Lonchura striata: one gene and its partners. The protein of the gene in region 1 purifies or fractionates together with the protein of each later gene. This does not show direct contact. Links are inferred from orthologs where the notes say so. Each region holds a gene or a part of one and is shown in the gene's direction. Other genes may lie near its edges. The genes, in order: EZH2, CTNNB1, CUL4B and YBX1.

Region 1 (7,365 bases):
TGAGGGAAATTGGTCCATACATACCAGTAAGATATTAATGTAAAACATTTGAAAACATAGCTAATCTCAAAGTGGCTAGTTGCAAAACATAGTCATTAATTTCTTGTTAAAAGTTAACACAAACTCCCTGCTTTTTTTATAATAATGATACAAGAGGCCAATACTTTAAAAGGGTCTCTGATATGCCTTTTTATGATATGCCACTTAATATTCTGATTTCTGTGTATTCATTGCCGTGCATAAGAGATAAATGCTATTACAGATTTAGACTGTACTTACTTTAGATTTTAGACTGTAGTTACATTTCTACATATGTAAACATTTTGTAAAATCTCATCAAATTCACATGGACCAAAATGCAGAATTTCAGACACACTACAAGCTAGGGTCTCTGTAAAAGTACAGGGTTAGGAAAACACCAAGAAACAAAGATCACGCTCCTAAACGCTCTACGGGATGAAATACTACTTGCAGTGCTACCGGCTTTGATTGTAGGGGTAGGTGTAACCAGGACAGGGTTACACCTACCCCTCCATCCTCCTTTCCTCCCTTCCAGCGAGCTCGGGAGCTGGAGCACGAGCAGGCTGAACCTCTGGAGGCTGTGTGACCGATCCGTGGAGCCAGCAGCCCGCGCCACGGAGAGAGCCAGCCCAAAGCTGCACGCAGCTTTGTTGCGCTGCCATTCCGGAGCACAAAGGAAAGCGACGCTGCCATCAGCAAGTCACCAGCTTATCTACAAGAATTACAGATGCAGCTACCGGCGTCTCTGCTCCGGGCTGCCAGTGCTGGGGGCAGCCTTGCTGCGCCTCTCCTGGAAAAAAACGGGTGGGCGAGGGGAAAACTGGCCAACATCTCTCGTTATTCCAGGCCGAGGTAGTTCCCAGACAGGTCTGGCTTGGTCCCCCAAGCCTGACGGGAAGAAATACCATATGATTCTAACTACAAGGAAATCTTGGGATAATAGTGCATAAAGAATATCCTATGCTTTAGAAATAACACCTTCTTTCAGATATTAAAAATATCTAAAAGAAACCACTTAACTGTTAATTTTGCTTTGCAGCAGAATTTTGTTTGCCCCTTCTTTTTCCTGGACTCAAATACCACTCCTTAAAGGGTGAAAGAAGCACATAAGGATCCCCCCATGGAAGCAATCATACCCTGATGCTGTCAAACAATTATTTTTATGTCTAATTGATGCTGGTGATCTAGCACTGACAAATCCTTATTCTACATAGTCATACATGCAATATGAATGTACATGTTACATTCATATGCTGGAAACATAGAAAATGCTCTTCTACAGTGTGTTAGCTATAAAAAAAGGGCAAATGCTTTCAACAGTTCCAGAAGGGTCTAAAACTGATACTTTTTTCTTGAGCCTGATTTTATTTAATTGTCATGTAACATGTGTATATTTCTTCAATGTTAGCCACTTTTCTCAAAAGCACTGTACCATGCTGCCACCAGAATTCACTCCTTTGAGAAAGGCTCCTCAAAATACCAGGTTTTGTAATTATTTCAAAAATTGTTGTGCTATTTTTACCTAAAGATCCAATTGGAATGTCTCTGCATAATACAGATCCTTGTTCAAATAGTTGCTTTTTAATCACAGAAATACAGCAGAAACAGAAAACCATTTGGGTGGTTTATTCTGTGAAAACAGAAAGTCTGTATGGAGCTTGTTGCAACATTAAACTCCTGTGTAGAGAATCAAACTGTTACCAAAATTCTCCAGGAGGTTTGAGGCAGCCTGAACTACGGATCAGGAAATCAGCACCTCATAGAATTTCTTGACAGGAGTTCATTGTTTTAAGAGCCTAGAATGGAGCCTTGGTGTAGAGATTGTTTTGTACAGTGCAAAGAAGAAACAGTAACTCAGTTCAAAACATGTACAGTTTTCTAGTAAGCATCACTTTCAGGTACAGCAGATGAATAATCTTCTGTACAAGAGAGGAAAAGGATGTGATCAGTGCTGAGGTTAGTTCACAGGGTAGGTTCTATAATGCAGATCTTTCCACCTTGTGGCTAAGCGTATCTGCTGCATTAAGTTACCTCACCCTTATCTAGCAATTATTACTTTTCTTGTTGACCAAAACCAGATCTCATGAAGTGCATCTTGAAGGATCAAAATAAATTACAAAACCTAAATTGTGACGAGACTGGGTAGCCATTTTGGTGGTGGCAGCCATCTTGGGGTAGAATAGATTCACAATAGCTGAATTTCCAGAAATGACTAATATTTTTCAAATGTAATATTTTAAAGACAATCTTCCCAATTGTCAGCCACTCCACTAGAATGCGAGGAAGGTTATAGCTATCTACCACAATATGACATGTAACTGTAATAGGAAATAATTTCTGCTGCGTGCTTTTTGCTCGTAACTCATGAAACCCCAGAGATTAAAAAACAAAAACAAAAACAAAAACAAAAATCAAAAAAAGAGATACTATTAGAAACACCTTTTCAAGGCCATGAGGTAAATCAAGAACATCCAGAGTGGGAATGCCCACACTTGAGACCTCACTCCAAGTTTAATACACAATGAAGCCCGGAAATTTTAAGTACTTTCACATAGAAAGAGACTATAAAAACACACAAGTACATTGCCTTTAAGTAGGAGAACACCAAGCCTCACTTGGCACATAAGCCAACTGCATTAATTGGGGGATGAAGGTGCATTTGTGATTTATTTCCCTGCAAGAACTTTTTATCACTTAGGACCTCATTACAGTGGCCACTGGTCATTTTTTGAACTTTGACCCTGTAGAAGCACTAAGGTAGCGCTAGGAAGCACAAGTTAGAGGGAAGCTGATATTTGGTGAGGAAGGATGACGGAAACAACCATGTATCGATTGCTCCAGCGCACATCGGAAGTAGCACTCGATGTGGGACGCATGGGAAAGTGATCTGGTCACAAGGGAGGTGAAGTGTATCATTAGAAAACTTATCTTGGCAATTTTATTTTTCTCTGCTGAAGCAGAGTAAAGGCTGGAGCGACCAGAGAGCAGGACGACGGCAGAGTAAAAAGGTGCACGAACCGTCAAGTTTTAAATACAACCTCGGCAACAAGATTGATGAGCGCGGCTCGTGGATTAGAAACGAGGGAAAACAGCAGCAGCCTTAGAGGCTGGAGACAGCACGTAGCGAGCAACAGGATGCGAGCCTGATGCGGAGAGAGCACTTTGCTGCGGCTGCTGCGATTTATGACATCCCCCCACGACAGGGGGAAGCCGCGCTGGATGCGGAGCAGCGAGGGAGAGGAAGCCGCCGGCGCGATGCGCTGAAGGAGGGCTGGCGGCGGTGAAGTTTGGGCAAGCAAAGGTCAAAGAGGCGGACGCGAAGCAGCAGCGCTGCAAAGTGACTCAGCCGGCCGAGACATCCGCCGGGGAGCGGCGGGGCTGCCCCGCCAGCGTGGGCTGTCCCCAGCCTCCAGGGCTGATACATCCTCGTTTTCCCTACGTGTCACGTCTGTGAGACACGCAAGCCCACGGCATGATCTGGCGATGTGGGCGCGTTTGTGATTTATTTCCTCCGTGAGAGACTTTTCTTAGTCAGAACCCCCTTACAGTGGCCGCTGCTCACTTCTGCCCCTGAAGATGCGCTGAGGTAGCCACAAGGAAGAGGAGAGGTGATATTTGGTAAGGAAGGATGACGGGACTTGTGGAAGCAAGGGTACGGCTCCAGTGTGTCTCGGAAGTAGCACTCGATGCGGGGCGCATCGGAAAGGGATGCGGTCGCAAGGGACGGGCTAAGTACCCGCTAGCAAAACTTATCTTGGCAATTTTATTTTTCCCTGCTGAAGACGGAGGAAGGCCGGAGTGACCTGCCGCGGCTGAGCTCCGGCGCCGGGGGCGCAACAGGCGGAGCGGCGGCGGGACGGAGGGGCCGCTCCGGACATTCCCGCCCCCGGGACCGTTACGGCCGTTACGCCGCTCCCGCTCTCGGACCGATTCAAACTCGGCAGCGGCGCCGAGCGGGAGCGGGAGCGCGGCCCCTCCCGGTGCCCGCCAATCCTCTCGCCCGCCTCCCTCCCCTTTCCCCTCCCTCTGCCCCTTCTCCACGTGAGGCGGCCGCGGAGTTCCGAGCGGCCCCGGCGCGGCGCGGCCCCGGGCCCGGCCCCGCCGCGCGGCGCGGGGGGCGGGGGGCGGCGGGAGCGGGGGGAGCGCGAGCCCCCCGTCCCCCCGCGCGGGCAGCGCGAGAACAAAGAGTTCTCCCCACCCCTCCCTGCCCCCCCCGCACGTGGGGAGCGAGGCCGCGCCCCGCGCCCCGCCCGCCGCCGCGCCCGATTGGCCCGGCGGGGCCCCGGCCGCGGCCGCCCGTCCAATGGAGGCGGCGCTCGGCGCTCGCCAATGAGCGCGATGGCGATTGGGCCGGCGTGTTTGGCGCTCGGTCCGGGAGGGTGAATCCGGCAGCCGGAGGCGGAGGGAGGCAGAGCGGGAGCGCCGAGCGGAGCTGGCGGCGGCACCGGCGGGAGCGGCGGCGGCGCGGAGCCGGGGCGGCGGGGGGGCGGGTGAGTGAGCGGGCGGGCGAGCGACACCTCGCGGGCTCGAGGCGGCGGCGGCGCCGGGAGCGGCTATTTATACCCGGGTCCTTTGTCATGGGGGAGGGGAGGAGAGGAGGGGAGGGGGCGGCAGGGAGGAAGGGGAGGATGGGGGCAGCGGCGGCGGCGGCTCACGGGGAGCAGCCGCGTCCCCTTCCCGCGGGGAGCCGGCGGGCAGACACGCGGGCTCCCGGCCGGTGACAGCTGGAGGGGGGAGACATGGAGTCTGGAGTGCCCTTTGTCTAAGTTGGCTCCGTCCAGCCCGGCCGGCGGCTCCGGTCCCCGCCCGGCGGGGCGCACGCCCGGGCTGGGGGCGAGCTCGCCGTCACTCCTTCGAAGGGCGGGGGCGGCGGGAGGCAGAGCGGGGGGCAGACCCGGCGATTCCCTTCCCCTCCTCTCCGCTCCAGCCGGCGGCACGCGGCGGTGGCCCCGGCGCGGGCAGAGGGAGGTGTGCGTGCGTGTCGAGCCCGAAAGCCGTGCGCCCGAAAGCCGTGTGCCCGCCGTGGGCAGCGCGGCACGCAGCTCGTCCCTCTCTCCCGGGAGCCGGGACAGTCCGCCCGGGCTCCCGGAAGCCGGGGCCGGCCGGGCGGGGAGGCTGAGCGCGCCCGGGCCGCCCGCCCGCGGGACGGCGGGGCTGCGCTGGGGGTCCCGCCTCGGCTTTGGGGCGCTCCGGGCTCAGGGAGAGAGCTCGGGAGGGGCCGGGGGGGAGCTCGGTCTGGCGGCTGCTCCGGCGAACTTCCTAATCGTGGAGATCACCGTGCGATCCCGATCTTCCAGAGCGCCGGGAGAAAGTTCATAAATAGCTGAAAATTCCGGGGTTTTGGGTCTCATATCGCCAAGCACGGCGATACGGAGCACTGTTTAAAGGTAGGGTGTCTGGGGAGGTGTGAAGGAGAGTGCTGGGCTGAGCCGTCCGTGAGCAACAAATGTGTGGTTGGATAAAGAAATCGGTGTGTTGTGGCATCATGCACATGTATTTAACATTACCAGGTCTTCGTGGTGATTCCAAAATTGTTATTCATACACTAAAGAAAAGCAACGCGTGCACAGATGTGCGGCAGGAATGGGACAACAAACTTGTACATTATTCGAGATACTTTCTAACTTACAAAGCACCATACTGATTTTATTTGAGCAAGAGAAAAGTTTTTTAAATTTCTAAAGCTGGAAGTTCAGATTCTTATTCTCTCTGATGAGAAGCACGTAACAGTTTGGAGAAGGTAATTTAATTTTAGCAGGATAGGTTTGTCTTTTCTTAAGTCTAGCAACTCTACTTTCAGCTATTGTGAGTTTGGTTCTTACTAATACAGATTTCAGCAAAGAGTTTTTGCCAGCACGTTTAGTGTGATCTTCACATCTAGGTGGGGATTCTTCTCAAAGATAGGCTAATATTTTTTGGGGGGGGTTGGCACATTCAGATTCTTTATGCAATTTATAAAAATTTAAAGGTAATTCCTTGTTTGTTCCCAGTGTCTATATCAAATTGAGAGTCCTGGGAATGTTTATTTGTGGTAACAATCAAGTATCTGCAGAAGGATGGGTATTACTTGTACATAGTGTACAATAACTAGGCTCACTAGTGATTATTAAAATGTGACTATTTGAAATGTACTAAGTCTTTCAGAAAATGCCCTTTCAGTATTTTAGGAGATGTGACTCAAAAGTTTTCTGTGATGTGTTGAATGATTTTAAGACCTAGTACTTTTACAAAGTACTAAATAAAAACGTCACATTTCTTGTTCTGGAGTTTCCTTTGCAAGAAGCAAAAAGGAAAAATATTTTTTTCCTTCCTCCGCCTCCATGAGAAATTAAAGTAACAATTAAAGCTAAACAACCTGTGCAGAAATCTGTGACAGTATAATGTTCCATGAGATGCCAACTGCTATTCTTGTCTGGAACTTTGGAAGGATTCAAGACTTTAATTTAGGAAAAAAATTGGGAAGAAATTTAGAGTTCTTTCATAGATTTTTTTAATATGTAATTTCACCTTTAAAAGTGGCAGACGCTGAAACTCTGCACCTTCAAAAAGTCATAAAATGTCACCGTTCAGTTTAAAATGAGCTGAAGTGGTGGTGTGTGAGCTTAGACCGGAGACCTGAAATTCAAGCTCAGCGTTCCCCCCCACCCCGCTGTGTTTTTTTCCTTTCTTGCTAAAACTGCCAACAAGCTAAAATATGGTGATTTCTTTGAAGACATGCTTTCAAACTGGTTTTTGTTTGTTCTGTAACATTGCAACCTTCATAAGTGAAATGTAAATATTCCCGTGCTACTTCTTACCTGCAAAGAAACTTTGGCTTAGGGAGAAGGGAATTTTTATAGTGCATTATTGAATGCATGAGCTGTGTTAGATATAGAGAGACTGCAAGCCACTTTCTGTAAAGAAGCTTATGTCAGAATAAGCTACATCTAGAATCTGGTGCAGGCCAACAGTGCTCCCAGGAAAGTTGGTGCACTCTAAAATTCCTCTTGCAATTAATCAAAAGAAGTGCTCTGTCACCATTCACAAAACTGTTCAGTTTCTGTGCCTGTATAGATTATGGATGTGTTTTAGTAAGTTCTCAGCTGTAATGATAAAACTGAGTAACAATTTTAGATGAAGGTTCTATATTCATGTGATTGAACAGTGAGAGTTATTTCTTAAAATGGCTGCAGCACTGACAGAAGGCACATATAATAAATGCCTACTTTACATTGTGTTTGAGCAAAAGTGCTGTGGAAAAACTTTAGTGTTGGCTGTAATCTGGAAGTTCTGTAATTCTACTGTTAGTACTTACAGATGGATCTTAGCTGATTTGAGGAAAAGTATCTGTGAAGTTTTGGGGGG
Region 2 (6,938 bases), about 4.4 Mb from region 1:
TGAGACTATGTGACTTTTTTAATACACTACAACCTTACTTTGCTGGAAGAAGACTCCTTTTATTTTTTTCTTTCTGGTTAAGAGGATCAGAATTATGTATCTTTTTGCTGACAAGTGAATATATATTTAGTCAGTGTCTGAAAAAAAATATCTGTAGTTGATTCTTGAATATGTTCCTAGAGCATGCACAGTTAGAAGCCAATTATGCATACATTTTTAAGATCCATATGGGAAATCACAGATTCAGGCCCAGAGCCCTAGATATTTCTGTAATTGGTAATTTTGCTTTGTCCTCATATTAGTACCATGGCTACTCATTTGTTACTATGTTCCTTATAAACAAAGTTAAACACCAGGATTTTAGAAGGAAAGGTGACCATCTAAGTTTACATTTAACTGTTTCTTATTTTAATTAAGGGGCTTCCTACTTTTTACTGTACTAAAAGTGGAGTCTACAAAAGCAGTGCTAAGGATGAAAAAAAAGTTAACAAAAAGATTTAAATCATTATCTTTTAAAATTCAACCATGAAGCTCTCCTTTGCACTGAGGATTTCTTACTGCAAGGATACACAATGGACATGTTAGGAGACTGCTTGACCTCTTAAAAAAAAATATGTCTGCAGCATACTCTTCTAGTAAACTGCCACCAAAACAAACCTATTAAAGTATAAAAGAGCTCAGAGGAAACTTCTGAAGCTGCACAGACACACTCAGTGCTTCTTGGGGAAGAAAGGAAAAAAAAGTAGAAGAGGAAGAATAACTGGACCGTTTGTGAATTTACTGATGGAGCCCTGTACTGTAATATTCCATATAACATTTACTGTTCTTGTTTTGATAGTGGAACTTTACACACTGCATTTTAGAAAAATTAGGAATATAAAATGTATTTTAGAAACATTTTTATAATTGAGAGAACAGCGACAAGTTAATTGTAATTTCAATTCGGCTATTAAGATTGTTTCTCTGAAGTAGGGGTTTGGGAATTTTTTAAAGGTACAATTTTAGAAAATGTTTAGCTACCTAATAGCTAAAAGTTGCAAAGCTGATATGAACCAAATTTCTATAAGCAATGTGACTAGATGCAAAAGTATCCTAACCACTTTGCAGCGAAACAAATAGAGATTAAAATTACAACCCATGCAGAAGTAAAGCATCCAAAAATCAACAAGAGTTAATCATTAGGTACTAAAGGCCAATATATTATTTAAATATATATATATAAGTTGTATGTTTTAAACCTGTTTTTAAAAGGTCTAGTTCCAGTTGTCCTCGTCAGGTCAAAAAGAAAAGCGGTCCACAGTTCAGGGGCCAGAAGCAGAGACATGGACTGCACCCTTCCTGCTCCTGCAAAATCCAGGCTCCAAAAGCCCCATCCCTGCAGACCTCGGGGGGTGGGATGGCACACAAAGAGCCTCTGAAAGGTATCTGGGACCATGCAATACATCAAGGGCATTTGACTGATTCTACTGTTGTTATCAAGTACCCAATGGAATTGCTTATAGCGAATTTGGCAATAATGCCCTATAGAAACAGCACTTTGAACTTATATAGTACCTTTGATCCAGGGATCTAAAAGGAGGGGTTTGTCAGTATTACTATTCCCGTTTTACAGAGGGTGAAACCGAGGCAGAGCAGATTTTCTGAAGGTTGTAGAAGAAGGCAGCTGAGAAAGGAAGGTGGATAAAGAAATTAACTCTTCCCTCCACACCCTTTTCTCTTTTTTTATTGCTTGACAATCTTCAATAATACTTTCTCTGGCTCTTATCTTAAATTGGGATAAAAATTCTGGTGTCAAGAACAAGGTCCTTCTGCTCATAGCTGCACCAAATAACTCCCCAGGAAGATGATGAACACTCACGGTCCACTGGCCTGATCTGGCAGAATTTTCTTTGCCAGCTCTTGCCAACAGTCACCCTCATTCTTGCCCCTCTTTTGACCAGTATTGTCAGAACGGGCAACTGTCCCAGGAGAAAACAGGAAAGCTGCATTTCTCAATTCTCCAACTTCAGGGTTGTCCAAGTAGCATTTCTTTTCCTTACTAGTGGGCACTAAAGGTTGCCCATAGCAGAGGGAGGCTGGTGGGTGAATGATTGCTATGCCTTGCAGTGGCAGGGGTAATGGGAGGAAAATAGGATTTTTTTTATCACCACTGCCTTTCCAATGCCATAGGAGTAGTAACAGCTAACCCACCCTTGGAACACTTCTCCGGCACTTGCCTCACTGGATGTGGCCCCCTTGTCACCCATGCCAGTTCCACCTTGTCTCTTGTATGCAGCAAGCCTTACATTATCCTGCCAACAAACCTCCAGCCCAGGATAAATACCCTGTTTTAAAAAGCTCCAAATTCAAAAGAAAGCAGCTTATGTGAAAATCAAGCAGCACTGTGAAAGAGGTTCCCTTAGAGTAACTCTACATCTGACTGAATAAATCAATGGGGGAAAAAAACCAAATCTTTAATTGCAACTTTCTAACTAGAAACTTAAGAGCCTGTTTAAAACTGGATTATCAGTGGGAAAAAACAAGCATAAAGGTAGTCCCCATGTGAACCGCGCATCTCCCTGCTGCAAAAACTGCACAAACTGGGGGCTGGTGGGGGACGAGACTGGAAGAAGGAAAAAAAGAATTCAATCTCCCACATCAGCCCGTGCCAAAGCAAATTTATTCTGCGGGGGGAACAAAATAATATACATCTTTGGCTCTGGCAATGGATGTTTCCCATAACCACGTTGTATATTCGGTCCTTGTTTCATGTGGAGAGAGGTGTGAATGTATTTTTCCCTCCTGGTATGTTAAACACAGACTTTGCCACTGCAAGACGATGCACGCAAAAAGTCTGTAAAACATTCTGCTGTGCAAGCCCGATCACGCCGAGAAGAGGCCGCCGCGGACGTGCCTTCACACGCCGCGAAAAAACCTTGTGCAATTCGTATTTTCCTGTTTTTTACGAATCGCTAAAGGAGCGAGGGGAGGGCTGGGAGGAGGAGGTGTGTGTGTGTGGAGGGGGGTGAAGAAGGGAAGTTCGCTTCTCCCTTAAAAAAAAAAAAAAAAAATTGCATAACGAGATACTTTCTTTGGCAACTGCTTCCTGACAAATATTTACAAGGGCAGAGCGGGAGCGCGTTTCCGCCGCCTTGCCGGGCCGAGCCGCGGGCCGGGCTCGGCGGCCGCCCCGTCCCAGCCGGGGCCGACTTCCCGCGGCAGCCCGAGATCCCCCGGACGTGGCGGCGCGGGCGTCTGGGAAGACGGAGTTTCGCTACAGTTGGTGCCGTGCACTTAAAAAAAAAAAAAAAAAAAAAAAAAGAAAAAAAGAAAAAAAAAAATTAAAACCCCAGGCAACGAAACTCCAGATTAAACGGGGGGTTTGGAAAGGAGTAGGAGAGAGGGAGTGACACGCGCCTTTTGCCCCCCACCCCCACCGCTCCCCTTCCCAAAGCAGGACCCCGGGTTGATCCCCGCAGTCGTATCCCCTCCCCCGCCGCCTCCACACCCCTCAGGGCAGCAGCAACTTCGTTCCCAAGCCGGGAACTAGGATCCTTCTTTCCCACCTCCGGAATAAGGTGTCTCCGCCGCGCTCCCCCTGCCCCGGCCAGCCCTGCCCAGCCCTGCCCAGCGCCGCCTGGCCCGGCCTTCCCCCATTCCGCCGCTTCCCCGCTCCCTGTCTCCCTCCGCCCTGGGAGCCGGGCACTATTTCTCCTCCTCCCTCTGCCTGCCCTGAGCGCCGGGCGCCTATGGAATGCCGCGCGCGGGGCCCGGCCGCGGCGGCAGGATACACAGCCGGGCCCGCCGCTCGCTATAAGAACCTCCTTGTGCGCGACGCCATTTTAAGCCTCTCGCTCGGTTCGGCGCTGGGAGCAGCGGCGGCGGCGCTCGGGGGACACGAACACCGCCGCCCCGTACGGTCGCCACCCGGAGCCAGCGGCGGGGGCACCGCCGTGAGCGAGGAGGAGGCGGGGGACGAGGAAGGAAAGACGGACCGGACCAGGATCGCCCGGGCAGCAGCAGCAGCCGCCGCCGCCGCCGGAGCCTGGAGGGACCCTGAGCTCTCCCTTCCTCCGACGTTAGTGCCGCTTTCTCCGGCGGGAACTCGGGCAAACCCGGGCCGGGCACCCCCGTGGCCGTCAGGGGGTCCAGGGAGTGCCCAGCGGGAAGGACGGGGCTGGGGGAGGGGGGAGCGGGGGTGGGAGAGAGGTGGGGGGGCAGGAAAGGAAGAGAGAGAGGGCTCTTGTTTTTGGGAGGTCCGGACAGCTGCGTGGCTGCAGGAGCGGCAGCTGCGGCTCCCGAGGAGTCTCTTGGGAAGCTCGTCCTGGGGCGAGGGGGTGGCTGCTCCGGGCGGGAGAAGGCGAGCCCATGCGCCCGCCTCTGCTCTCGGCTGCAGCAGCGTCCGGAGTACTTTAATGGCCCTTTTTTATTATTATTTTAGAGGTTCTTCCCCCTCCCTTTTTAGGGGACTACTAACTCGCTGTTGGGTATCAGATCCCCTTTGGCGATAGGAGGGGGAAGAGAGCAGGGTACGGGTTTATTTGTACGGAATATAATTAATCACGGTCACTGCAGTCAGCGGGAGATAACTAATCTGTTGCCTTGTGGGGTTTCGCTTTTAGTGGCGTTGCATATTTGCCGGAGAGGCTGTGCTGCTGCTTCTGGGTGTCACCGAAATGAAGCTTTCCCGGAGCTGGGAGCAATCAAATTAAGTTTTTTAACACCCACCTTACCAGGGTATTGCAGGGAACGACCTGGGCTGCGGGCGGTGTTGGGGCTCCCACGCTGCGAGGGGAAGCGCCCGCTGCTTCCCGTGGCCGGCTGGGGGACCACGGCGGCTCCAGCTTCCCGAAGTACCGCGCTCCCGAGCTGTGGAGATCAACTCGCGGTTACTCCCAGAATTGTCTAGGGCGCTTCTTTCTCTAGGAACAGGGTCTCCTGGGGTGTTGTGGTTTGTTGTTGGTTTAGTTTGTTTTTTGGTGTTTGTTCTTTTTTTTTTTTTAACAAAGCTTAGTTCGTCTCTTTTGTGCATGATTAGCTGCTCCTAGAGCAGCAAGTTTTCTTAAATGTAGCAAAACCTTACATTTTTCCCTAGTTAAAACTCGATGTAGGATGTTGGGTCGTTTCTTTTTGTGTCTCTTTCCAAAAACCTCTGAAAATTATCCTAACTGGAAAGAAAGGACAGACTGTGTGAAGGTACCACGAGCAACTTACTTGTGACTTTAGGAATAGCAGTGTTGATCTTTGTAATCAGCTACTTCTTGATCTCTTTCTCATGGAGCAGCCATTGTTCTGACACTCTGTATATTCCAGACATCTGTGGTCCTCCCATCCCCCAAAGTATGCAAGTGGTGAATGGAAAGAGGCTGGGCTGGTATGCTGAGGTCGACGGACGGAAATCAAGGAGGGGTTTTAGTAAAACAGGATCTTTATGTACTGAGACTACAGTAAAGCAAAGACGAGAAAATTAGTTGCAAGAGTGTCAGGGTTTTCTTGATCTAAGTTCGGACACACCAGTCAGCAACTTCCTAGTTATGATTTTGATTCTAAATGAGAAAAAGATACTGCTGCGAGGCTCCAAGAAAAAAGTCTAAGCGGCAAAACTTAGTGGTGTGTATTGGCCCAAGTTATAATGTGAATTTCAATACGTAACAGTCCAGGAACCTAATGTTGATCTTGCACTTTTGATAAAAAGGTGCTGACAGCTGCAGGTATGTGACTGCTGTGTCGTTGTCTAATGGCTGGTACTGTTGCAAATGAGGCTGCTTAGGTATTCAGGCAAGAGTTTGAGGCTCTCTAAATTCAACTGTTCAGTTCAAAATTATACTGAATGTCTCATTGTTCTGAGGCTGTTCTAAATAAATGTCATATTTGTTTGTCTGTTAGTTCAGATATTTTCTATTTAGGTGTAAACTGATATCCAGGGGAATGTTTGGTCTGTATGGCTGATCATTTCCACAAAGTCTAGGAGACAAGTACAAACACCATGTTGGAAAGGACAATGCCATGCACGATAGCTTCCAGGAGCAAGGATTTAATGCAAAGTAAAGCTTGATTGGAAAAATCAGTTCTTCAAATTCTGTGTTACAGCCTTATCAAACCAAGCTTCGTTTTTCTTGCCTAAGCTATAAATAGAATGGGCTCTTTGCATGGTGTATGTCTACTCTGGACACCAGCATTTTGCTCTGACTGTGATGTGTCAGTAAGTAGCTTACCAAACCTTGGCTGTGAAACCTGGTTGCCCTTCAGACGAAATTATTTTTTTCTGAAACATCTGTCCATCTGTAGTGACTCTACATCTGGATTAGCATCCTGAAATACCATGTTCTGAAGAGTTCTGAGTTTTTGGGGATGTTAAGGCAAGAGGTTAATACTAGTGGTGTTCTGATTTTGCAGTGTTTTCAGGAGTGGAAAGGGAAGTGGAAAGAATAGAGCAGGAAATATGGCTGCTGGAGGCTTCTGTCTCAGAAATTGAAGTCTGAGTGTGCTGTCTGAAACTCTTGGATAAGGATGTTTCTGTAGAGTATTGTCTAGTAGGCAGACTGGTGTGCAAATACATCGGTAATCAAAATCACTTACCTTAATTCAAAGTTAAACTGGTAATGCTGGGGTTGTGGTGATCATGCAGTTGCCTGCAGCAAAACTTGTTCTGTGACTGTGGTAGCCTGCATACCATGGCAGGAAAATCGGGACTGACCTTACCTATCTTGAACATCTTACTTGACAAAGCCTGGTAAAACCTGTGAGAAACTGCAGGCAGCTGTGTCTTGCTTCTGTGTCCTCAGAACATGCACCTGCAAATTCTGAGCCCAGTGCTTTGCTGGCTGACTGGGTGGGAACCCAGAAATGGTAAACTCCTTGGCAGTAAGTATTGTGTGTAATTCTTCTTGTTTCTTTATATAAAATTATTTTCCTGAAAGGGCAATATTTCTGATTTTCCAGTTAAGCACCAATTGAAT
Region 3 (7,471 bases), on another chromosome or scaffold:
CTATTTAAAAAAAGGGAAAATAATCAAGATAATACATGGAAGCCTGAAAATACTACAAAATGTTACTGACGGGAATCCAAACAATTTTGTGCTTCCATGTCCATCAAGCTGAATGCTTCCCTTCAACAACAGGCTGGTCCTTGGAGAGACCCTGAATACACTGCACACTAGCTACTAGGAAGATTTTTAAGTTCCTCAAGCATCCTACTAGCATGTGCCTTTAAAGCAAAATGAGCACAAGCCAACTTTCTGGTTTGGCCATAACACGGACTATCTATTAAGAGATGATGGATGCCCATCAAAAGTGCTAGGTTTATCTACTGTACAAAGTAAACAAAGAAAGCCATCCTAGCACCTTGAAAGCAAAGTTTAAGAGAAGAGATACTTACCATCTTACTATTTTAACTGGATCTTTCTTTGGCATGATTTGGTTTAGCCATGGTTCAATAACAGGAAACTGGTCTATCAGTTGATTCTTGATACCTTTAATAACTGAAGTCTTCAGCTGGATACAGTTTGATACATTCTCCTTTTCATCAAATCTGTCAAATGAAAGCATTTTAGAAATGCATAATTTTCTGCATAAAATATGCATTTTTCAGCAGCTGTCTTCAGAAATGCTTATAAATTCACTATAAAAATCTAATAGCAGACTGACTGTCCAACTTTCAAATGCAGAAATTTCATGAAGCTTAAATTTGCCCCCTTGGAACACTTGGGCTGGGGGAAGGCGGGGCAGCCTGTCTTCATCCCTAAACTTTTTGTACGGCCACAGCACGTGTTTAGTCTCACACATTAAGCCCGGCACACAGCGCTATTTTATTCAACTCCGAGAGTACTCTGCTGGTACCACAAACACCCACAGCCCCGTTCCGATGCGAATCCTTCACGTCCACCGCAGCGCCGGGCCCTGCCCTGCCCTGCCCTTCCCTTCCCTTCCCTTCCCTTCCCTTCCCTTCCCTTCCCTTCCCCCGCGCCTCCCGCGGCCCCAGCCCGGCCGCACTCACTTCTTGAACATCCTGCGGGCGGGGGGCGCCGGGCGGGCGGGCGGGCCGGGGCCGGCGGGCACCCACAGCCTGGGCGCTGCTCACACGCGGCTCCGGCCGGGCCGTCCCTCCCTCCAAGCCCGCCGGAAGCGCCGCTCCATCCCCGCGGAACGGGCGGGGCCAGCCGGCAGCGCGGCGCGGCCCCGGCGCGGGCGCGGCCCCGGCGCGGGCGCGGCCCCGGTACCGGGGCCGCGCCCGCGCCGGGGCCGCGCCCGCGCCGGGGCCGCGCCCGCCCGCTGCCCCTTGCACAACTGCGTTGTTATTAACCTCCCACAGCAGCCCGGCGCCTGCTACTTACAGGCACGGCGCTGGTTTCCCAGGTAATGTATCGCTTTTTGGTAAAATAAGAAGAGCAAAGTGCTACTAGCTGCTGGCATTATTTAAACACAAAATACGTTTATCTGGAAAAAAACACAGCCATCTTCAAACTAGCAGAGCAGAAGCTATCGTCACGCCAGCTTCAGAGTAGGACACGAGATACTATCAACAGTATTCTGGGGGGAAAAATAGAGTTCTTGTCAAACAGCAGATACTGTTCCCGGCTAGGGAATCGGTCCCAGGTGACAGTACCACATCTTCAAAGTGGGGAGGAAGCAGAAACCTGGCTTCCAGAGAAGATCTCAGCTGCCAGGCAGACAGATGGATCTGGTGGAGTGTATCAGAATCAAATTAGGTTTTGTTTGGTGATGGCCGCCGCAATTGTGAATAGAAAACCATAGCAGACAGAATTTACCACACTGCTTTTTCACTCTCTGAGGAGCAGACCTGTGTTTGTTCTTTAGGCTGGTGGCTGCTACATAAACAGACATAGAGGTGATCACCCAGTTTCTTTTTAGTGTCATGGAAATGCCAACACTAGGATAAAGGAGAGGGAGGAGAGGATATAAAACATCAGGTTATCATTATGCTAACAACCGAGTTTCTTTTTTCCATACAAAACAATTTCATCACCTTTGATACTATAACAGGTAATTAAAACCTAATACTTAAAAGTTATATTTGCCAAAGTAAAATCAAGCATTATACATGGTATCATTCAAATAGTGCAGTACAGCTTTGGGAACAAACACACTAATAACTTTTTGAAAGTATAGGAATGAACTATGGCATTACATAAACAGTCAAGCACTTCACTTATGAATGCCACCTTCACCTACTTTGTAGCATCCCCAAAAATACTGAGTGATGATCAAGAATTCAGTTTTAACTGAACCACAGTGACACTGCTCATCCCCAGGATTAGAAAATGAGAATGGGAGTTAATCACACTGAAAAACTATTCCATACGTTATGGTGATCCTCAGAAAAACTTTCATCAAATAGTACTTAGCCATGCAAACAACCACATTTTTTAAAACTGTAATGAAAAATTCATCATATTCTACCTCAAGTGATAGAAACACAAGGTAAACTTCTACTCTTCTTGAGAAACACAGCACATCTCACTGAAGTCACCTGAGCCACCAGTTTCATGTCTGCCTAAAACAGCAAGATTAGGCCCAAATTTTCAAAAAATGCCTTTGTCAAGAGGAAGGTCTTACCTCTACACTTTTACTACCTTCAAGCAGTTGGACCATTGGTTCCCTTCAGGCTGAGCTAACCTTTAGTCTGGTCTCAACTTCTCCACCTTCTCTTCCAAATGCTTTTTGCTGGGGTAGGTAACTGCTCAGTCAATCTAAACATGCCTGTACAGAGGACTTCTGAAGAAGGCTCCAAGGACCTAGGCTGGACTTCATTAACACAGCTCTCAGTGTTACTGTTCAGCCTCAACACAAAAAAGCTGGAGACTTTCATCTGGTTGCAGAGTCACTTAAAAGTACCAAAATTTTAAAAGCATGGTACCTGGACAAGACTGACAAAGCAGGGGGAACATCCAGCAACTGTTCTGACAGAAACCACCCCTCAGGATCATGTGCTAAATAGAAAGGACTTAGGATTTCACTCCCCATAAGTTTTGGTAGAAAAGGGGGAAAATCCATCATACTTCTTCCTGGATCCCCAGAACTTTACCTTGCCTCCACCTGCTCTCTCACATCCAAAAGCTGAATATTCTAACTGATGGGACAAAGTCATTGACTGTCCCACCCCTGAATGATTGCATAGACAGCAACTTCAGGAAAAGGGACTCTTACTCATGTCTTTTTTATAAATCAAATCCTTTCAATGAACCAAGAATGTGTAGAAATTTGGCATCTCTTACATCTCTAGACCTCTTATCTATTTTGGCTTAAGTGAACATGACAGTTACTGGGGAACAGAGGAAAATTTTACAGCATACTCACATAACTTATTTACTTGGCAAACCTGTTTTTTTCTATTATATCCGACTTGGAATGCAATTTAGTAGCCTTGGGAACCATACAATCTCTTCTAAAGCCAGTCAAAGCCAGACTGAAGCTTTGTTTTGCTGGCGTTTTTTCAACTGGAAAAAGTGCTTTTCTACACATCACTAGCATGACATTCCAGGCCTCAGGAGTTGTCTGACAGTGACTCAGACATAAAACATACTCCAGAAGAGCTTTAGTGACATTACATTCCATGTACCAGTTTCTGTCAAGAGAATTAAGTCTGTGTTTTCCTATCCAACATAAAAGTGCCACTAGATTTTCCCCTGAGGAGCTGCCTGGTGTACAAGGTATGCTCTGGTGAAGGCCGTGGAGAATCTCCTGGAACAAAACCTCATCACTTGGCTTGTTGCTTTTTCCACAGCCATTTCTCAGCAGTGGTTGAACCCTAACAACATTCCTCAGGAGTTTACAGTCCCTTTGGCAACAGAACCACCAACATCAAAAAGGAGACTCCAAAGGCCCAGGACTTCTGTTCTTGTTTCTAAAAGTTACAAAATAAACAAAAGAAAAGCAAACCATAGACTGTAGCCCAGTGCAAGTAGTATGTATTAAAATCGTATCAAACAGCTGACGCTAAATTATTTATAAATAAGTGTAACAAAAAGCATTTCCAGACCAAGCTAACAGGCTTAGCTAACAGGCCCGGGCCTAGGCCGCAGGCTCCGGCGGAACGAGCAGACGGCGGCCGAGCCTGCGGCGGGGCCGGGCCGGGTGAGGCCGCCTGAGGCCGGGCGGGCCCCCGGAACGGGCCCCGGAGCGGAACGCCCCGGAGCGGCACTCCCCGGTCCCGCACTCCCGCCCCAGGGGCGGCCCCAGGCCGGCGCGGGGGGCACCGAGCCACGATCAGTTCCGGCGGGGCCGAGGGCGCCGGCGGGGCCGGAGGCGGGTCCCGGGGCGGGTCCCGGGGCGGGTCCCGGGGCGGGTCCCGGGGCGGGTCCCGGGGCGGGTCCCGGGGCGGGTCCCGGGGCGGGTCCCGGGGCGGGTCTCGGGGCGGATCCCGGGGCGGGTCCCGGGGCGGGTCCCGGGGCGGTCCCAGCGCTTCCCGGCCGCGCTTCCGTGCGCCGCGCCCCGTCATGCACGGCGGGCGGATGCGCCGCCATTTTTGCGCTCCCTCTGCCGTGCAGTGACAATAACAACCCGGCCGGGCCGTCCCCCCTCAGCGAGCGCGGGCACAGCGGAGAGGGGGGAGCGGGGCCGAGCGGGGCCGAGCGGAGCGGCCGCGGGCGGAGCGGGAGCGGGTGGGGCCAGGGGCTGGAGCCGAGGCCGGAGGGAGCCGCGCTCAGCCCTCCCCGCTGCTGCTCGGCGGAGACGAGGCGGCCGGAGCAGGAGGGGAGCGCAAGGAGAAGCCGGGGAAGCGGGCAGCCGTGGGGAATTCTGCAGCTGGAGAGGAGAACCGAAAGGAACTGGTGGGCGGCAGGAACGGAAACGCTGCGCTGGGAAAGGAGTAAAAGCAGAAAGGCAGCGCCAAACTACGGGAAGAACCAAAGTAATAAAGAAAAGGGAAGAGGAGATAAAGTGATTCCTCCGATAAAGAAAAACGCGAAGGAGAAGAAATACGGAAGGACTTCACTGATGAGAAGGAGGAGTTGAAAGACCCCCCACCCCCCCCCCGAGACAGTAAACAGAGACTGACTCTAAAACTCTCCCCCTCTTCTTTGTCACACCACAAGGATTTGATGCCCCTCAGCCTGTTCACTTCTGTGTGTTCATGTTTCCCACAGGTTTCTCTTCCCCCAACCCCCCAGCTGCAGCCCAGGAGGTCAGACCTGCCACTGATGGTAACACTAGCAGCAGCTCCTCCTGCAAGAAGAGAAAGCTAAATAACAGCAGCAACAGTAATTCCGAAAAAGAAGAATTTGATTCCATTTCCTCCTGCACCTCTTCTCCTTCCAAAAACACCTCCTCATCATCTTCCTCTGTCATCACCACTTCCTCGTGCTCCTCCTCAGGGGTTGCTTCCTCCAACCATCACCTCCAGAAGAAGCTGCGCTTTGAGGACTCCGTGGATTTTATTGGACTCGATGTGAAGATGGCTGAAGAGTCTTCTTCCTCCTCCTCCTCTCCTGCTGCCTCTTCTCAGCAGCAGCACCAGCAACAGCTTAAAAATAAAAGCCTTTTAATTTCGTCAGTGGCTGTGGGGCACCATGCAAATGGCCTGACCAAAGCTGCCTCCTCTACTGTTTCCAGTTTCGCCAACAGTAAACCTGGCTCTGCCAAGAAATTAGTGATCAAGAACTTTAAAGGTAACAGGCCATAATTTGTCACAACCTGTGGGGAGCTGACACTCGACTTCGCGATTTGTTTTCAGCCTGAAAGCCCAAATAGCCCCAGGTTTTGCAGGAATTGCTTTTCTGTGCTGAACATTTCCATATTTATGTAAAGGGGAATCATGATTTCTGATGTGTGCTTGCCTGGTCATGTACACATCCTGAGCTACACTTTGCTGCTTGGAATTATTTTTCAGACTCCATTCTTTCTCTTGAGAAGGCCTTCATTTGTATGTTAGGTGTAAGGTTTTACTGCCTAAGTGTTAAATTGCCTTTGTTTTAACATTTGATACCGTTGTTCTAGTAATTCTGATTCAGAGCTTAGTGTATATTTTAGCCCAGTTTATGATAAGCCTTTGCATAGAATGTGGGGGTTTTTTTAATTGGCCTTGAATCTGCATGTCTTATCTCTATCCTTGTTGTCTGTTTATAGGATAATCTTCATGTGCTTAGCTTTAAATGTTGAAACTAAGGTGATTATCGGGTTATTATGGTGGATTTCCTTTCAGGTTTCCCCACTTGCTTTTAAAGTAGATAGTTCAGATTTTTGCAGTTTTTTCCTTTTAATGGAAAGCTGTCATTTTTAATTGTAGTATCTTTCCTCTGTCTTAGCTTACTCTTACTTTAGAAGTTTACTTTATTTTATAAATTCTTTCCAAACACACATTTGAGATTTTTTAGTAGTGTTAGTAGAGACCAAGGTGAAGTAGAGAAATTAAACTTTTCTGATGTGATGCTGCTTTATTTTCTAGTAAACAAAAATACAAATAGGTAGGCAGAAAGCTTAGCTAAAATGCTGCCATTTTTTCCCTATGAAGATGAGGCGATCGTGAGCTTTTTTTATTTCCTGCTTCTTGCTGGCTTCCAAAATAGTCCACTACCTTGCTTTCCTGGCTTGTTTGCATTTTGGTTTGTGGAGGGGTAAAAGATATTACCGAAATTAAAATTAATTTTGAAATACACAATTGACACAAATCTTCTGTAGACATGTTGCATTAGGTAAGGATTAGTAATGGTTTTGCAGGAATTCATGATCACACTGTAACTCTTTGCTTTAAGGTTCCAATTCTCAAAAATGTTCTCCACCCATCAAAGCATCATAATTTAATTTGACTGATTATTTTAAAATACCAAGCTATGATGCATTATAGGCTGCTCTTCAGTTCCTTGTGCACTGTAATCTTTAAGGGAAGTTAACTTCTCACTTTTAAAATACCTGTTAAATGTCACGGATTGCATGGTACTGTGATCATTGCTTCTGAATGGGTATTTGAACCACTTGCTTAAAAAGGATGTTTTGGTATTCTGACAGCTTTGCTTTTTATTTATCTCAGATGCTAAACTGAATAACATTATTAAGATATTTGCCTTCTCTTAGTGTGATAACAATGACATCCTTTACAACTTAAATAACTTCGTAAAATCCATAACCTTGGTGTTGATTGCTCAGAGCATAGTCAGGAGTTGTTAGTGAAAATAGGCAAGTCCATGGTTAGTTGTCTCTAGATCCAGATCAGGCAGCTAATGTTTGGGATATTGCCAGTATTGTACAAAAATGCTTGGAAGAACAAAATAATTACTTCTCTCTTTTAATTATTTCTATGGAATTCGTAAAGTTTTAAAATTTGTTTTTTACTTGTAGGTGTGTAAAAGTCAATTTTAATAGAGTATAAACTCTGGGCCAGTTTCACCTGTTGGTAGCATGGATGTGCATATGTCATCTTCCTTCTCAGACTTTCTTCTTCTGTCTTCTCCATTTAGGAATGTCCTTATTAGAACAAAAATGGTCACTTTGGGTAGTTACAAGAAC
Region 4 (7,793 bases), on another chromosome or scaffold:
AACTTCCAAAAAACTACAAAAATCAGACTATCCATGGGTGGGACAGGCAGGGATCAATAAAAGGAGAAGAGAAAGGGAGGACTTTTGAGCCTCCTTGCTCAGTACCGCTGTAGGACTGACACTACTGAAGGACCAAGGAGTTACCATTTTGCATAGTCTTACCTTGACTTGAAAAAAGTACCACTCCCTCTATCTGAAAAGAGATGTTTTCACTATTTACTGTTACTTAGGTTTCATATTGGTTAAACCAATAGTCTCAGGCTAACATACAGTAAGTGTTCTGTCTCCATTTGTTAGCTCAATTTACTGTAAAATCTACAGGTATTTAAATCTGTCTAGATTTCAGTGTGTTGGGCTGCAGCTTGTCAAAAATCTGCTGTATTAGCCTTTTGGTTGCTGATTTTTTCCAAATTTCAGGAGGCAGTTTGGACTCACAATTTTATACTCACAATACTCACAATTTTTGACCTTCCATTAAATTATATCCAAAGGCAACTGGAATTGCAAAAATGTTCCCTCTTTTGTAATAAAGTCTTAGAGACCTGCAGCACTTCAAACTCTTGGGAGCTCTTGCTATTTGATGAAGTTTCAACAGGGAATGTAATCATTCTTCCATTCCCCTGGTTCTTCTGGTGGCATTTACAGGCTTTTGAAAAAAGTCTGCTAGTAAGGCTGTCTCTTTTCTTGCAGAGCTGTGTTGAAGGGTCAGGTCTCCTTTAGATTTGTACTCCATCCCAGACTTTCTTACCATTTTAGTTTGGAGTACTGTGTCCCTGGCAATCCCCAGCTTGAGCCTGGAAGCTTCACATTCATAGGTGCAATGCTGGTGCCAGCTTACTTATTTCCCTAACAGGTCTTAGGAACAGCCTTGCTGCACTCTCATGTCTCTCATCTGACTGGGAACAAGAACAGCTTTTGCATTGCCTGACGTCAGAAAGCTATATCAGCTACTTGTCAAGATCCTTGAAAATCAGCTGGGAGAAACAGGCACTCTTGCTTTTAACTTCAGAAGTAGATGCAGTTGCCTGACAGGCAGATCCAGGAGGATTCCTGAGTTCTCTGGATGATGAAAGCTGGTGAAGCTTGTGTGTGTAGCAACTGGCATGCATTTAAAATTGCTGTGTGGCCCCCAGTATTACTGCACAGCCTGGCTGTTGTAGGATCTGTTGGGAATGGTTGTCCAGCATTTAGACTTACATGTTTCTTCTTCCTTTCAGTGTTCCTTTACTGGTGATTAGACCTGTGCTGGCTCCAAGCAATTCCAGTTCCAGCCAGCTCACCCACTGCCCAGACTTCTCCACAGGCCAGATCCATCCTCTTGATGTTCTCCTGAAATTATTTAATAATGGGCTTTTTTTTTTTTTTTTTTTTTTTTTTTTTTTTTTTTTTTTACATTTTGAAATGTAATTAAAAAATTTTTAAACATGTGCAGTGCACATCAATTAGCATTAGTGGGAATGGATTCTTCTCTAGGTGAAAAGGGCTGTAACATCTTCAGCAACATGCATTGTCCCTGGCCAGTTAGTCAGGAACATTTACTGATTGGTATTGAAAGAAGGGGTGAAAGGAGCTTGGTAGAGCTGTGCTGCACCAGCTCTTTCACTCGGCAGGTAACTACAACTGCCTGGCTGGCAGAAAGGTTGTTGGCACATCTTGGGAATCTCCAGAACTGAGGAATTGGTATAGCACAGATTCCATCACCGTGAGTGCTACACTCTGAGGAGAGTTCTGATGTAAACAGGTCTTTCAGTCATCGAGCTGTTATGTGCCACATATGTTGGAGGAGGGGTTCACCTGAGTACTTACAAGGGTGTTGGAGCAGGCTTGGGAAAAACAGAATGGTGATGCTATAGGAATGAAATTGGGGCTGCTTGTCCTGTTTAGTGAGGAGAGTGCAGCTGAGGCTGCCTTTCTTCCAGAACAGGGCTGGGAGCTCACCCTCCTGGCAGGGGACAAGCCAGCACCCTACACAGTGCTGGGTTCCAGCAGGAACTTCTCATCCAGCTGTTTAAAGGTAAAGGACCTGATGAAAGTTAGGACAGAGTCTGTTCTGTCACATGCAGGTGATTCATCCCATGTGGAAAGATCCCAACTGTGCCTGGGCAGTGGGTATAGGGTGCACTCTCTGCCTGACCTGAGCCTTGCCCAGCACTGATAGGCTGGAGGAAGTTCCCACAGGCTTAGCTGTGCTCTTTTCTCTCATGGCTCTTTGAAATCCTAGGAGAAGGCTCTGGCTGTCAGGATTCCTACGTCCTCATTCCTAGAATTGCACAGCAGCTGAGAACACTCACTTCTCTCCAGCCTGAGGCATGTCACTTTGTACCTGCAGAACATCAGGTGATAAAAGAAGCACAAGCACCCCAGTCCTTTCTTCCTCAGCCCCACACATGCTTTGCAGAGGGCTCTCCTGTGAGAGGAGGGTTGAAGATTCTCAACAGGCTGGCTCAGGTGCCTCAAGGAGCTATGCCTGGCAGTGCTGTGCTGAGGTTTGCACTTCTGGCTGCTGGTATTCACCATTCAAAAAATTCACCATTTTTTCACCAGGGAAACAAGTTTATTTCTGGTCCAGGATTAGCAGCACTTTTTCAGCCTGATGTATTTATACCACTGCCACCACCTGGCCTCACTTCCTGCATAAAGGGGTCACAGAGCTTCCCCAGATTAATTAAGAGTGGCAAATCCATTACTACCTCTTTGTTATTACAATGGCTAATTACATCCCATTATATTTCCCTTAAACGTGGAATGTTACCTGCTGGCTGAAAGTCTTCTCAAAAACCACATTTTTTGTTTTAATTCCTCCATGATGGTGTCACCCTTGTGTTGTATGTAGCAAATCCTGGAATGTCCTGTAGAGGAGATGATGGAACTCCTGTCAGCTTCCTTCAACTGTGGATGCTGCAGCTGGAGATGGTATTTCTGGTGGCCTGTGCATTTCCTTGAGGGTCTGAGTTGCCTTTGGATTTCACAGTGTTACTCCACAAAGACATCATTGGGGTCCACAGTTTTGGCTGTAGGTGCATGGCTCTGACATTCCCACACATTTCCTCCCTGGAGTTTTCTTCCTCATGGGTGGCTGCCTGGTGTATTCCCTAATTTGCATTCTATAGTAAGATTATTTTTCAGGTGACTCACTGAAGTGGTTTTGGTTTGTTAATTTAAGATTTCTTTAATTTTGAGATTTTTTAATTAATGTGTTGAAGAGTGTGATGAGTTTTAGTGTTGGCTAATCACTTATGTATTTATTTCTTCTTGTGAGATAGGAAGATAGGATTAGGAGAATGGTAAAGTAGGCTTAAAATTTTAAAAGGTATAAAGAAAATTTTATTAACACTAATTAAAAGAAAAAGATAGTAAGAATTAAAATCTTTAGAATATTTTTTCTTTATTTTATAACTTTTTTTAAACTGATTATGTAAAGAAATGAAATTTAAAATTTTTAGTTCATTTAATCCTTTTTAAATAGTTTTTTTTTTTTTCTCATACAAAACTATGGCAGTCACTAAGCAGCATCCAATTTTGACATCATTCTAGCTTTTTTATCCAGGTCATCATCCTGGTGCTGATCCTGTGGGACTGTGTTATTGTTTTCAAGCCCTTCCCTTCATTAACTGAGTTGAAGATCAGGTGGAAGAGTTCCCAAGGGAGCAGGATGAGACCAATGTTCCTAGTGGGTTGATGTGGTGGGTTGAGCTTGGCCTCATTCGAGTCCTTCACCTGGCCAGGGTGGAATGTAGGGAACTGGGATAGTGAACTGGATGGTGATTTGTGTGCAGTGCTGAAAGGGCTGATCCCAAGGGGATACGTGTTGCTTGCAAAAATGGTGGAGTGGTGGGTCATCTCCCAGAGACCTTCTGAGTGGTTGCTGATGACCTTTCTCTCCTCCCATGTCAGACGAATGACATGACCAAAGCAAGAAATGTGGCCACCAACCACATTCTTCAACTAAGGAAAATTAACTTGTTGGACAAGGACAGGGGTTTCCTCGGGACCTTCCCTTTGGGGAACCCTGCAAGAGATGTCGGGTACCTCCAGGCCGCTGTAAGGTGAATCCATAGAGGTAAGGAGGTGCTGAGAGATGGTGGCTGGAGAAAGACTCTAGCAGGGTAAAGGACCCAGCACTAATGCTTTTCCGACAGCCTGAGTGGGTAGAAGGGCTCAGGGTGAGAAGCTGCTCCCGCCCTTCCAGGGAGGGAAGGATGCGATGTCTAGGGAAAAGCTGATTCCCCGCGGGTCAGGTCAGTGCTGTTACTGCACATCCGGACATGGACTGGGGAGCTCTGACAGCTCCAAATCCGTCGTTTCCCACTGGTATTTAACGCTCCCGGGCCCTTCTGGCAATCATTAACGGGAGAGGGCGCCCCCGGCGCGCTAGGCCGGGAGCCGCCCGCAAGATCGCTCTGCCCTGGGTCTTCCAGCGAGCGGAAGCGGGGTCGGGGACAGCGCCGGACAGAAGCCACCGGCGCATGGTCGCGCGCACTTCCCCGATCGTGCCCGGTGGGGGCGGGAGCGGCGGCCGGAAGGGCCAATCAGGGGCGGGGGCGGGGACTCCGGGTCGCCCGGTGAGAAAAGCTGGCTTGGCACCCACGGGCGAAGCAACCAATGGCGCGCGCTCTTGGGGAAAGGCAGGTGTCGTCGCCAATAGGTTTTCGGTGGGGGGCGGTGGCGGGTTGGGGAAAGGCCAATGGGGTCGCTCTCCGTTTAACGGGCGGGCCGGATGGCGAATCGCGGCGCGTGCGGGCGGGGCGCGCGGGGTGACTAACCGGTGCGCGCCGCCATTGTGGCCAGTTCGATCGGTATCGGGAGCGGAGAGCGGAGCTCAGCGAGCCCGGAGCAGGGAGCAGCCCCCCCCCCGCCCCCACGGCCGGCCTCAGTCACCATCACACCGCGGGAGGCGGCGCAAACAGCAGTCACCACCACCGTCCGCACCGAACAGCCGCCGCCATGAGCAGCGAGGCCGAGACCCAGCCGCCCGCCGCCCCCGTCCCCCCGGCGGCCCCCGCCGCCCCCGCCGACTCCAAGCCAAACGGTGGGACCGGGAACGGGGGCAGCGGCCTGGCCTCGGCGGCACCTCCCGCTGGCGGGGACAAGAAGGTCATCGGTGAGGGCAGCTTGGGGTCCCGGGGTGGGGTGGGAAGCTCCGATCCCACTGCCTCTCTCCCTCCATGGCTGAGGTTGGCGCGCGCTCCCTTCCGCCCGGAGGGGCTGTGCGCGCCCCCGGCTCGTGTCCTCGCTCGCGCGGCGGCCGTTAGTCGCCCCCCTCTCCCTCCCCGCCCCGCGCGCCGCCGGCCCCGCGTGCCGGGTGGGGGCGGGGCAGCGCAAGATGTCCGCCACGCGGGGCCTTTGTGCGCGCGCCCTGCCACGTGCCCCTGACGTGCCGCTCCCTCCCCTCCTTCCCCTCTTCACTCTGCCCCTTCCCGCAGCAACGAAGGTTTTGGGAACAGTGAAATGGTTCAACGTGAGGAACGGTTACGGCTTCATCAACAGGTGAGTGCCCAGACGCGGCGGGCCTTGTCACGGGGAGCCCCGGGGAGGGGGGCGCGGCACTTGTGTCCCGCGGGTGACAGGCGGGGGCGGGGAGTGGTGGTGCCTTTGCCGCCTCTCGCCCTTCTTGGTAGAAGGAGCTGGTACGATTCGCCCTTTCTCCACCCCGGGGTTTCTGTCCTGCTTGGGGCTTCCTTGGGGTTGGCTTTTGAGTCCTTTAACCCTGGGCAAGAGCTGCGCTCTCGAAGCGAGTCTGTTTCCATGGCGATGTGTCTTACATTATGGTCTATCCCTTTATGGTGTTTTGGGGTTTTTTTCCCCCCTTAAAGATATAAAAGTGCACTGGCTGTCAGCACACATTTAAACTCCTGCGTAAAGTTCAGTCAATGCAAGTAAAAATTGCTTTTAGCACTTGGTAGTTTAAACACACTCTAATGAGGACACTGTCAGCATATGGCAAAATGAGCAAAAGGAGCATAGTTCACACATTCTAGTGCCACACTCAAGTGCACAGACTGGTCTCATGAAACAAGTGCCTAGAAGATTCTTTTTGTGACAGTAGTTGATGTGAAAGACTAATTTGAACGCTTTGAGAAGTATGTAGGTACCTGAAGTAGGTCTGTCAAGGAGAGGAAGTGCTCTGCAAACAAGTTTTTAGAAAATGGGCAATTCTTGGCTCCATTGGCTGGAGGGGGGCTCCCTGGACTGTTGCTAGAGCTGTTTCCCTTATTTTGTGGTACTTAAACTCCCCAGTCTCAGAATGAGGCTGTGTACTGGGAAATCCCCTTTAGGCCAGCAAGTATAGTGTTATTATTGGAACTTTTGTTTATGTTTGGTTTAAACACTGCCTTTTGGAACTGCCTGTTACTTTATGAACTAGTCTAAATTGTTAAACTCCTGAATTAGTTCTGTGTCTGCAGCTTTACAAACCTGCCTCCCATTCTGTCCAGTTTGCATTGTTCATCATGCCATGCTTCAGTTCCCAGTGTTGTGGAGTCACCAGTGCTGAGAGCTGTTGTCTCTGGCCTTGGAAATGCCTCCCAAGTCCCAGCCACAAACCCCACCTCGAGGGAAGGCTTTTCCTGTTCCCTCAGCAGTGAAAATGTTCTGTGGTGTCAGTCAAGCAAGGAAGCAGCAGCAGCAGCTAGTTGAGACATCCAAGTAGCTTCCCCAGTCATTAATTTGGCAGCTGTTTAATCCCTGAGGTTGCCATTTGTAATGAGAAACCCAGCATGATCTCATATTATCAAGAGATTAGAGGCTGGTAACTGAAGGGGAGGACATTTCCTCAGCTCTGAAATCTTTACCTGGCTGCAGGGAAGCTGTGCAGGAGCTCCTGCCCTTGCATGGCTTTGCTTTAGCCAGGTCTGCTTTCAAATAAAATGAGACTATGGAACTGAAATGAGCTTTGAGGTATGTGCATGCTCACTTCAGGTATTTTCTGAGTCTTTTTAATGTTAGAAGTGTGATTCTGTTACAAAATAGGAAGGAGTTTGAATTCTGGGTCTTTGATGGTTGTTTCTCATGTTTGCCAAAATAACAAGTTGATGTGCCAAATCCGCTGGCTTGGTCTGTACCATAACTGGAGTTGCACTGTCTGGCATGGTATTTGGTGCCCTGCTGGACTTGGCATCTTCTTTGTCTGCTTATCTATTTCCCTTTCTCTAATATATTTTAGTGGATAAAAGATGTGAGTGGAAGAGTGGCATAGTGCAAAGATCAGTTAAATTGTTTGGCCTTTAGAATGGGTGTTCCTCTTGTACCCTTCCAAATTTTCTTTGAAAAAGTGATGGTCCTGTTGTTCCATCATCCACACGGCAGCATGCTTGCTGCTTCCAGATGTGCTTGCTGGAAAACAGCATTGGGAGTGATGTGGCCAATGGCGTGGGGCTGTAAAATGGCTTGATTCAGTGAGCCCTGTGTGATCTCGTCAGTTGTCGAGCCAAAACTCTGATGTCCTCTTGAATGGAAACTGCTTTGCAAATGGATTTTAAAAATAAGTATCCAGTCTGGTTGTCCAAAATTCAACCTGGGCAAAAGTACAAGGTATCCACATTTGTGGATGAGCACTTCCTACCACTGTTTTTTTAGCTGATGATGAAGGAAGGTGCTCAGCATTTTTACTAGAAACATGCTACTATTCTCTTGCGAAGGTTTTCAGCATTTTGGACATTGTGTTTTGAAGAAGAGTCTTTCAGCTTTGGCTTTGCAAGGGCTTCTGAGTGCTGCATTCTTGGGGCTTTGGAGATGATATCAGAATGGCTCTGCTCGGCTGCCTTTTCCCAGTAACCTTTGAGGTCTGTAGGCAT

The links.
Region 2: the proteins of EZH2 (region 1) and CTNNB1 purify together in Homo sapiens (affinity purification with western blotting; 4 studies listed by BioGRID, with this or other methods). This does not show direct contact. The link is inferred for Lonchura striata from reciprocal best matches to the Homo sapiens genes EZH2 and CTNNB1.
Region 3: the proteins of EZH2 (region 1) and CUL4B purify together in Homo sapiens (affinity purification with mass spectrometry; 4 studies listed by BioGRID and IntAct, with this or other methods). This does not show direct contact. The link is inferred for Lonchura striata from reciprocal best matches to the Homo sapiens genes EZH2 and CUL4B.
Region 4: the proteins of EZH2 (region 1) and YBX1 purify together in Homo sapiens (affinity purification with mass spectrometry, with the first as the bait; 3 studies listed by BioGRID). This does not show direct contact. The link is inferred for Lonchura striata from reciprocal best matches to the Homo sapiens genes EZH2 and YBX1.

What each region holds. Positions count from the first base shown.
Region 1 is NC_134603.1:107,631,272-107,638,636, reverse strand, and holds the start of EZH2 (histone-lysine N-methyltransferase EZH2), read left to right. Parts: upstream 1-4,351; 5' UTR 4,352-4,511; intron 4,512-7,365. UniProt on the Homo sapiens protein: Polycomb group (PcG) protein. Catalytic subunit of the PRC2/EED-EZH2 complex, which methylates 'Lys-9' (H3K9me) and 'Lys-27' (H3K27me) of histone H3, leading to transcriptional repression of the affected target gene.
Region 2 is NC_134603.1:112,027,336-112,034,273, forward strand, and holds the start of CTNNB1 (catenin beta-1), read left to right. Parts: upstream 1-3,938; 5' UTR 3,939-4,057; intron 4,058-6,938. UniProt on the Homo sapiens protein: Key downstream component of the canonical Wnt signaling pathway.
Region 3 is NC_134616.1:9,129,912-9,137,382, reverse strand, and holds the start of CUL4B (cullin-4B), read left to right. Parts: upstream 1-4,456; 5' UTR 4,457-5,102; coding exon 5,103-5,637; intron 5,638-7,471. Other genes in the region: MCTS1 (malignant T-cell-amplified sequence 1), read right to left, coding at 390-542, 1,008-1,018.
Region 4 is NC_134626.1:8,504,104-8,511,896, reverse strand, and holds the start of YBX1 (Y-box-binding protein 1), read left to right. Parts: upstream 1-4,781; 5' UTR 4,782-4,944; coding exon 4,945-5,101; intron 5,102-5,423; coding exon 5,424-5,487; intron 5,488-7,793. UniProt on the Homo sapiens protein: DNA- and RNA-binding protein involved in various processes, such as translational repression, RNA stabilization, mRNA splicing, DNA repair and transcription regulation.